Oryzias latipes: one gene and its partner. The protein of the gene in region 1 purifies or fractionates together with the protein of each later gene. This does not show direct contact. Links are inferred from orthologs where the notes say so. Each region holds a gene or a part of one and is shown in the gene's direction. Other genes may lie near its edges. The genes, in order: chek1 and hax1.

What was found.
Region 2: the proteins of chek1 (region 1) and hax1 purify together in Homo sapiens (affinity purification with mass spectrometry; 3 studies listed by BioGRID and IntAct, with this or other methods). This does not show direct contact. The link is inferred for Oryzias latipes from reciprocal best matches to the Homo sapiens genes CHEK1 and HAX1.

What each region holds. Positions count from the first base shown.
Region 1 is NC_019872.2:13,136,578-13,141,028, reverse strand, and holds the start of chek1 (serine/threonine-protein kinase Chk1), read left to right. Parts: upstream 1-1,458; 5' UTR 1,459-1,714; coding exon 1,715-1,779; intron 1,780-2,652; coding exon 2,653-2,767; intron 2,768-4,174; coding exon 4,175-4,283; intron 4,284-4,395; coding exon 4,396-4,451. UniProt on the Homo sapiens protein: Serine/threonine-protein kinase which is required for checkpoint-mediated cell cycle arrest and activation of DNA repair in response to the presence of DNA damage or unreplicated DNA.
Region 2 is NC_019869.2:791,190-795,283, reverse strand, and holds hax1 (HCLS1-associated protein X-1), read left to right. Parts: upstream 1-1,590; 5' UTR 1,591-1,715; coding exon 1,716-1,780; intron 1,781-2,156; coding exon 2,157-2,395; intron 2,396-2,468; coding exon 2,469-2,644; intron 2,645-2,710; coding exon 2,711-2,753; intron 2,754-2,837; coding exon 2,838-2,971; intron 2,972-3,037; coding exon 3,038-3,155; intron 3,156-3,224; coding exon 3,225-3,298; 3' UTR 3,299-3,486; downstream 3,487-4,094. Other genes in the region: aquaporin-10, read left to right, coding at 3,915-4,094. UniProt on the Homo sapiens protein: Recruits the Arp2/3 complex to the cell cortex and regulates reorganization of the cortical actin cytoskeleton via its interaction with KCNC3 and the Arp2/3 complex. Slows down the rate of inactivation of KCNC3 channels. Promotes GNA13-mediated cell migration.

The sequences.
Region 1 (4,451 bases):
ACAAAAACTGTATTACAGTAATTTGAATTAAATTATGCATGATCATAATTTTGAACACATTATTTATCTCATGAATTGAATTTAAAAAAAGAAGAAAATTAAAAATGAAATGCCTGCTTAAAGCCACAAAAGATATATTTTACCTGTGCAAAGTAGACAAAAGAAAACAGCAAGACTTCTCCAGTGGACAGAAGCTTCCATGCTGAACCAGTTAAAAGTAACAGTTTGAAATTTGGGTTGTGTAAATGAAGCTTTTTTTAAGGAGTTATGTAAAAAAAATTCTTTGAACAAAGATCACTCTTTTATTTATTCAGTTTCAAAAGACTGATGCAACGTGAGACTTTTCCCCAACTGCAGTATTTGTCCTTCTTCATGGTCTGATTTAGATCAAGACTAAAGTTCATCTAAAAGAAGGTGAAAGGATTTCAAACAGTTGTATGAAAGTATTAATAAGTTCATGCTTGGAACTTAATGTTGTCCCCTTCTATGAGGAAAATGCAGCTCTACGTGCTGAGGAAACAGCTTTCAAATTTGTATTATTTGCAAATAACAATCCATGTTAATTTTAAACGTGTCAATCCTTCTGTTAAACAACATACAGAAAATACAATTTTGGGGAATTTAGATGGAATTCAGCTTGTGTGAATTGTGCTACATTTGGTAAGTTTCTGCTCATAGCAATTTTACCTTAACATGCTCAGCAGTGAGATGTGGTGAGTGCTGGTGAGGCACTGATGTCATCAGTCAGTTTAACAAATATATTCATATCAATTCAGATTAATTTTAGTTATACAGCACATTTCATGTAAAGAAAACAGCTCAAGGTGCTGTTAATCAAATCAAATAAGGATGCAAAAACACCAATGCAAAAATTAATAAATAAGCCCCTATGCCACAGATTAACTTATTTATACCATTTAATTGGTAACACTTGAAGTGGGTTGTTTAAGATTTCATTTCAACATTTTTGTCAATGTAGGATAGAAAAAAAATCACCAAAGTTTTTATTATTGACTTACTTTCGCTTTAATACAGTTACACATGAAAAAGAACTTTGATAAGTCCATGAAAATGCTTTTAATAACATTATAATTTAGGCGACATTGCACCAGCAAGCAGCACTGGCTGTGGCTCGTAACTGATTTGATGCTAGCACATGCAGATTGTTGAATTCACTCGCACAGCAAATAAAATGAAACAACAATATCACAACGGGTCATCAATTTAAATAGAGCATCTTTGCGACCGTTTGATTGACAGCAAATTAAAAGGAGAAATACTCAGACATGCAAAAATGAACTGATTTTTATTACAACTGTTCTCTTTCATAAGAAAAATGCCAGAAAGACATGTCAAAAACTTTCCTCGGAGGGATACTTATGAGTGGAATGTAATATGTCCTCCAATTCCGGAATGACCCGCGTGGTGGCGGTAATGCACAAAAAAGTGTTTTCCAACAACAGAAGAAGAAGAAACGGAAGTTGTCACTGGGAAAGTTCTTAGCGCCAAATTCGTGAAGCTTTGCTGGTTCTGAACCGAACTGGCTCGATGGATATCTGTGAAAAGGAACAAGAGGAGACAGCAGCCGTGTAGATTGGACTTTTCAGTCTGACCAAACCAGGCTCTCTGAGCCGAGCAGCAGCTGTTGTCCACTTTCAGGACTGGTTCTGTTCTGACCGGCTCTCTCTCTCTGTTCTCCATCCTCATCATCATCATGGCGGTGCCTTTCGTGCAGGACTGGGACGTGGTCCAGACGCTGGGAGAAGGAGCTTATGGAGAGTAGGAACCCTTTTTCTTTTTGGACCCTTCAGAAAGTCTTTTCATGGCGTAGCAGGACCACACGTGTTCATTAGAACCCACACACAACATCTGCACACACATCTGCTGAAGACTAGTAGAGGAGTTAGTGAGCGGGTTTCAGTTTTGGAAGATTTTGACACTTATCCCTTGTGCTATCAAAGGCACGTTAACGCTGGGAGTGGGGTCATCTGGACCCCACAAGTCAAGACAGTGCGCTGAACCTTTTTTTTTCAATGATTTGTGATCTTCACTGGTGTCCATGGATTCCATGAAATCTTTCCACCTTTATCCACCTTTGTCATGGTAGGGAGAACACGTCAATGTAAGGGTGGGGTCATCTGGACCCCATAGCACAAGGGTTATTGATGGATCAAAGCCAAATCTAACTAACAGAAAACTTTCATTGTTGTAAATTAGACATAAAAGTAAAAATCATTGTAAATGTTTTGCCATTAAAATGATTACAAGCATAACATATGATATGCTTAGATTAAAGCGGTCCGAATCTGTTTTTAAATATTTTAGAATAGGACCATGTGGAAAACCCATCAGAAAAAGTTATGTAGAAAGAGTTTTAGTGAGGATTTATCACACGGGAAGAGAGGCAGGAGAAGAACAGCTGTATATGTATTCAGATAAATTATAAAGATGAAAGTGTAATGCAACAAAAAGGATAAGAATCTGACATGAAATTATTATTTACAAAAAAATGTTTTTTTGCAAACACATTTTTAACCAAACTGATTTGTTTTGAATAGAAATTTAATAAATGAAGAGGGAGCAATGCAATTGAGAATTGATTTTATCCTTATTTTTGGTTTGTTTTTGTTCCTACGCTGATCTGGTGTTCAGAGTGAGGCTGCTGGTGAACAGGCAGACGGAGGAGGCGGTGGCGGTAAAGGTGATCGACACGTCACAAGCAGAGGAGTGTGCAGAAAATGTCAAGAAAGAGATCTGCATCCATAAGGTATCCCAGCCACGTCTAAAACAGCTGGTCCCAACCAGGCACTTCTGACACAAATCATCTCTCATTTTTGTTGTTTAAGCAATTTGTTTACAGATTAAAAAAGGAATCTATTGAATAATTTTTGCATTTTTAAAAACCTGAATAAGTACCCATTCTTACTGGTTAATTAAAAAGCTTTGAACTCCCTCTCCGATTGTCTTTTGATCTATTTTCAAAAAATGTCCCTGGTGGTCTTTCAATTACGATTATTCCATTATTAGCCAAAATGAAAAAGAAATGTGTCGTTTTCTAAGACATACAGTTAGGACCATAAATATTTGGACAGAGACACATTTTTTCTAATTTAGTTTCTGTACATTACTACAATTTGAAATAAATCAACTCAGATGCCATTGAAGTGCAGACTTTCAGCTTTTATTTCATGGGTTGAACAAAAAGATTGCATAGAAATGTGAAAAACTAAAACATTTTTTAAACACAATCCCTTCATTTCATGGGCTCGTAAGTAATTGGACAATTGACTTCCATGCTATTGCATGGGCAGGTGTGGGCAATTCCCTTGTTATGTCATTATGAGTGAAGCAGATAAAAGGCCTGGGGTTGATTAGAGGACTCGTGCTTGCATTTTGAAGATTTTGCTGTGAACAGACATGTGGTCAAAGGAGCTCACCATGCAGGTGAAAGGAGCCATCATTACGCTGAGGAAACTGTAGCAGTTCATTAAAAATATACCTCTGAGTTGTGGGCGGAACCGTTGACACGGAACAACCCTGTCCTCACTTCCTGACACCCAGCTTTTTACATGTTATTCCACTAGCTTACAGCCCCTCACATCCTCACCCTAACATTATCGGTGCAACACAAATGGCGAGCAACATTGGACCCATGCAGCCGTACAGTTTCTAGCCAGATACCACCTCGGACGAGGAAGACGAAGACCTACATGGATATATTCATCTACAGTCAGGACCATAAATATTTGGACAGAGACACATTCTTTCTGTACATTACCACAGTGAATTTTAAATAAAACAACTCAGATGCCATTAAAGTGCAGACTTTCAGCTTTTATACCATGGTTTGAACTAAAAGATTTCATAGAATTATGAAAAACTAAAGCATTTTTTAAACACAATCCCTTCATTTCATGGGCTCTTAAGTAATTGGACAAATACAAAGGGAGACATTGTATTTTCTACATTGCAGATACGTTCTTTTTCAAACGGTCTTTTTTTGTGATTCGCAACCATTTGAAAATAAAAATACTCAAAAATACCATTGCAAGCTCAATTTTCTTCATATAGTTTTTTCCATCATGAGAACATGTTGAGAAAACCAGAAACACAATTTTCGTCAGAGTGGGTCTTTGAAATTGTCTGTTCATCTGAAATATTATTTTTTTTGTAGATTCTCAACCACTGCAACATTGTAAGGTTTTTCGGTCATCGGAGAGAAGGAACAACCGTCTATCTCTTCCTAGAATACTGCACTGGAGGGGAGCTGTTTGACCGCATTGGTAAGATGCTCACTTTAAATTCAGCGGAGTCTTTACTTGTTTTGTCTCTAAGGATTATTGTGGTTTAATGTTGGTCACATTGTTTGCAACTTCTAACTAATGTTTCCTCCAGAACCTGATGTGGGGATGCCAGAGAGAGATGCTCATCGGTTTTTCCAGCAGCTCATC
Region 2 (4,094 bases), on another chromosome or scaffold:
TTTCCTGAATGGGTTCTGTTTCCTTTCTTTGGTCCTCCATTTTTTTTGGCTTGAGGGGAGAAAACCTGACTGGGGGGGGGGGGGCGGTTTCATATTCTCACCTTCACCTGTGCTTTCATCCAGACCCCCCCCATACAATATATCCCAAAATAAGTTGCTGTTGAATGCTTTCCCCCCCTTTTATGTCATTTTTAAGTTTGAAGAAGCAGTTGGTAGAGTCGTGAAGTTTATTTTTTACCAAATCTAGATCTATTCTATATACAGAGGCTGTGGGGACAACGCGTCATGTGACGGCGTGCGTGTTTGAACACGTGGGGATTGTGATCAGAAACGTTTGGGCTCAGGGCGGTTGGGCATGCGGCGTTTGTACAGTAACTCCTCCCATGAATCCTAACCGCATCCGGACGGAAGGACAGACGGATTCCCGTCCTTCCTCCTCCTCCTCCTCCTCCTGTCTTCTAACATAAAAGGAAACCCTGCAGCGTTGAATACTGATGGACAGAATTGTATTTTGGGTTTTGTTTCATTTTCAGTGATTTATTTTTATTTTTTTTTGTACTGTGCGTTTTAAAACAAAATCTAAATGGAGAAAAACTAGTCTTGTACATATAAAAACACAAGTACTGTAGTCCCCGTTTGTCCATGGCTTTTTCTTTCCTTCTCAAATCCTTGCAGACTTGTTAGCTTTGTTTTCATATTTTTTTTATTTTGTAAAAATATATAAATATTAAGTAAATAAACAAAGACGTTTTCATCATTTTTGAATGTTTTTCACTTTTTTGGGGTTTGTGAATTTAACAGAATCCTGGATTCATTTCACATCAGCAGATTTCTTTCCTAAAACCAGTTTGATCAAGAAAAGGATGATTATTGGTGAATTAAGTGGGACAGGATGATGTTTTTAATCCCCTGCAGTGACTCTGTCTCTATTCTGGAGGCTTTTCTCTGCTGGGGGGTTCATCCTCTCTCCTTCCAGCAGAGATGATGGACGACAGGAGGCTGAATGATCTGCTTTGCTGAACTCGTCTGGGATTCAGTCTCATCAAATGTCCATCATTGTTTTTTTCTGTTTAAAAACCATTTTGCACATGACTACAAAATAAACTTGATTAAGGTTTTTGTATTTAGAAAACCAACATTATAAACAAAAATGATGGGTGGATTATATGATTTAACACAAGATGATGATAAACCTAAAATGATTTTATTAATTTTGCTTGTATCAAATCTCTGCATTTGTTTGTGAACTAGTTGGTTTAAATACCTCAATCGTCTTATTTAGATATTTTTTATTACTCTCAAGTTGCCTACAAAATATTCTTAGTTAATTTGGGATTTTTTTGTTGAAACGTTTGGAAAAACTAAATGTAGCATTCTAAAAAGTCTTTTCCGTGTAGAATAAGGAGTTCATAAGTTTACGGGTTTGTTTTATTGTTTTTCTTTTATGACTTTATTCGTGTTTTGGTTTTTTTCCTACGTGGTGGAAACGTTTTTATCTTTACAATATTCATAAACATTCTAACGTTTTTTATTTCATAATTGACAGATTCGGGTTTAAATCCCTTTCTGCGTCACACGTTTGTTCACTACGGCTCCGTCTTTACGACACTTTACGGCATTCCGAACGCTTTACGGCACTGTTGACATCCGTTCGGACCGGAGAGTTTAAGGTCCGGCAAAGGTTCCGGTTCGGTTTCAGCCCTAACCGTCACTAAATGAGCGTTTTTGATTTGTTTCGCGGGTTTTTCGGGGTTCCTGGAGGTAATTTTCACGGTCGAAGGTGAGTTTTTCGGGTCGGAGGTTGTTAGATAACCTTCTGGATTAGGAAACCTAAGGGGTCCCGCGGCGCGCGCGCACTTTATTTTCTTAGTTTCAGTTTAACCCTTGTGCCGTCTTAGATGACCCCCCCCCCCCCCACCTTCCATTGACGTGTCCCCCCTACCATGACAAAGGTGGATAAAGGTGGAAAGATTTCATGTAATCCATGGACACCAGTGAAGATCACAAATCATTGAAGAAAAAAGGTTCAGAGCACTGTCTAGTGGGTCTAGATGACCCAACTCCCAACGGTAAAGTGCCTAGGATAGCACAAGGGTTACGGCGCTCGCCGGTACCGGTCTACCGGGTCTCACCGCTCGCTTCATCCTCCTCATCAGAGACCCGTTCTTTGACGCCATGACCCGCGATGAGGAGGACGACGATGAAGATGAAGATGTTTTCCACCACGATGGCTTCATGGGGGGTCAGGAGGACCCTTTCGATGGCGCCTTCAGGTTTGGTTTCAGTTTTGGTCCGGACGGGATGAGGGTCCAGGAGCCCCCGGTATTCGGCCACATTCTCCGGGAGATGGAGGAGATCTTCTCCCAGATGGGTCGCTTGGAGTCTGGACACTTTGGTCAGTCTGAGCTGCTCACCAATCTGGTTCTGGTTCTGGTTCTGGTTTCACACGCCCCCTCTCTGTGTTGCAGATCTCCCCAGGGTCATGCCTCCCCCAGCAGCTCCGGACAGAGGCGGGAATCCTCTGCGGGACTTCATGCTCAAACACCCGGACCGGGCCCCGCCCCACGGGTCCCCTCGGCCCCCGCCCCACGGGTCCCCTCGGCCCCCGCACGCGCCCTTTCACGGCTGGACCCCCTTCTCCAAAGTAAATGAGACCTCTTGCTCAGACCTGTGATGCCTTCACCCTCTCATCCTCTGTGTTTGGATGCAGGAGCCGCTCAGATCTGCAGACGAAGACCTCAGACGGGACGGAGGTGGGAGACGGACCCGACCCGGTTCTGCAGTGTGACCCCCCCCCCCTGTCTGTCTAAAAAACTCTTCCCTCTGGTCTGATCCAGATCTGGACTCTGCAGTGTCCTCTGGTGGCCTGGATCAGATTTTAGCGCCCCCTTCAGGTCAGAAACCAGACCAGCCGAGGAGCAGGTCCTTCTTCCAGTCGGTGGTGGTCTCTAAGGTTCTGAGGCCCGATGGGGTGGGTGTCGTTACGCAGCTTTTCTGGGTTTTTTAGCTTGTTTTCATATAAAATAATTGATGTCAGACTGTAGAGGAGAGGCGGACAGTCAGAGACGGTCAGGGACGCGAGGAGACCACCGTGACCCGCTCAGGAGGTCCCGGGAGACTGGAAGAACCCGGGCAGACCGGACCGGTGCTGCCAGGTACGTCTACGCCCCCCCCGCCTCACCATTCTAGCAGCTGCTGCAAACCTCACAGTTGTGTCGCTGCAGGTGGACCTCAGGGCTCCTCAGACCTGCGAGATGACGACTCGCTGTTCTCCAGGTTCTTTGGAGGCTTCAAATAACCTCCAGAACCTTCAGACCCGTCTGGATCCATCCACGCCGTCTTGTTTGAGAGAAAGTGTTATTTCTGTCCAAAGTTGGCCTCCGTCTGTGATCCCAGGACGGAGAGGAAACTCTGACGATCTATTTTTCTACCGTCGTCTTGGCGCCGCACAGATACGAACCCAATAAAGACCTAATTTATTCACAAGCTGCTTCGTTTGGACTGTTCTTCCCCTGAACACAGTCCTCATCACAATCTGCAGAAACGGATCCGAACCGTCCCACAGGGGGGAGGGGGGGGGGCTCCAGAACCTTTCAGTCAGACTGGTGAGGTGGTGGAAAGAAAGCCCGTTCAGGCTGATCCGGTCCAGGAGGGAAAGCTTTTTCCTCCTGTTCTGCTGCTTCATCAGAGTCAGAAAACAGATTCATGGATTCTGAAGCTGAGTAGTTCTAGTTTTAGCTGTCAATAATGTATTTGGGATGAATGAAGGTTCGTTTCCTCTTTTCTGCAGATTTATTTATAGTTTTTGTGATTCTGTTTCTGGCTGTGACGTTTGAAACTAAAGGATTCAGACTCAGAAAAACAACTTTCACTTTCCTGAGTGGATCTAAAGTCCTCCAGTGGAACAAGCCGTCATGCAGGCGTCCTGGGGGGCGTGCACGCCTGTCAGGGGGGCCTCCGCGGTCAGTGACTCCCCCCTCCTGGGGGCAGCGCCTCCGTGTGACGTCAGCTGCAGGGCGAAGGGGCAGATCTCGCCGGGTCCGACCTGCAGGGTGGCAACACGCCTGGGTCCAGAGGAACGCTCAGGGATGGAG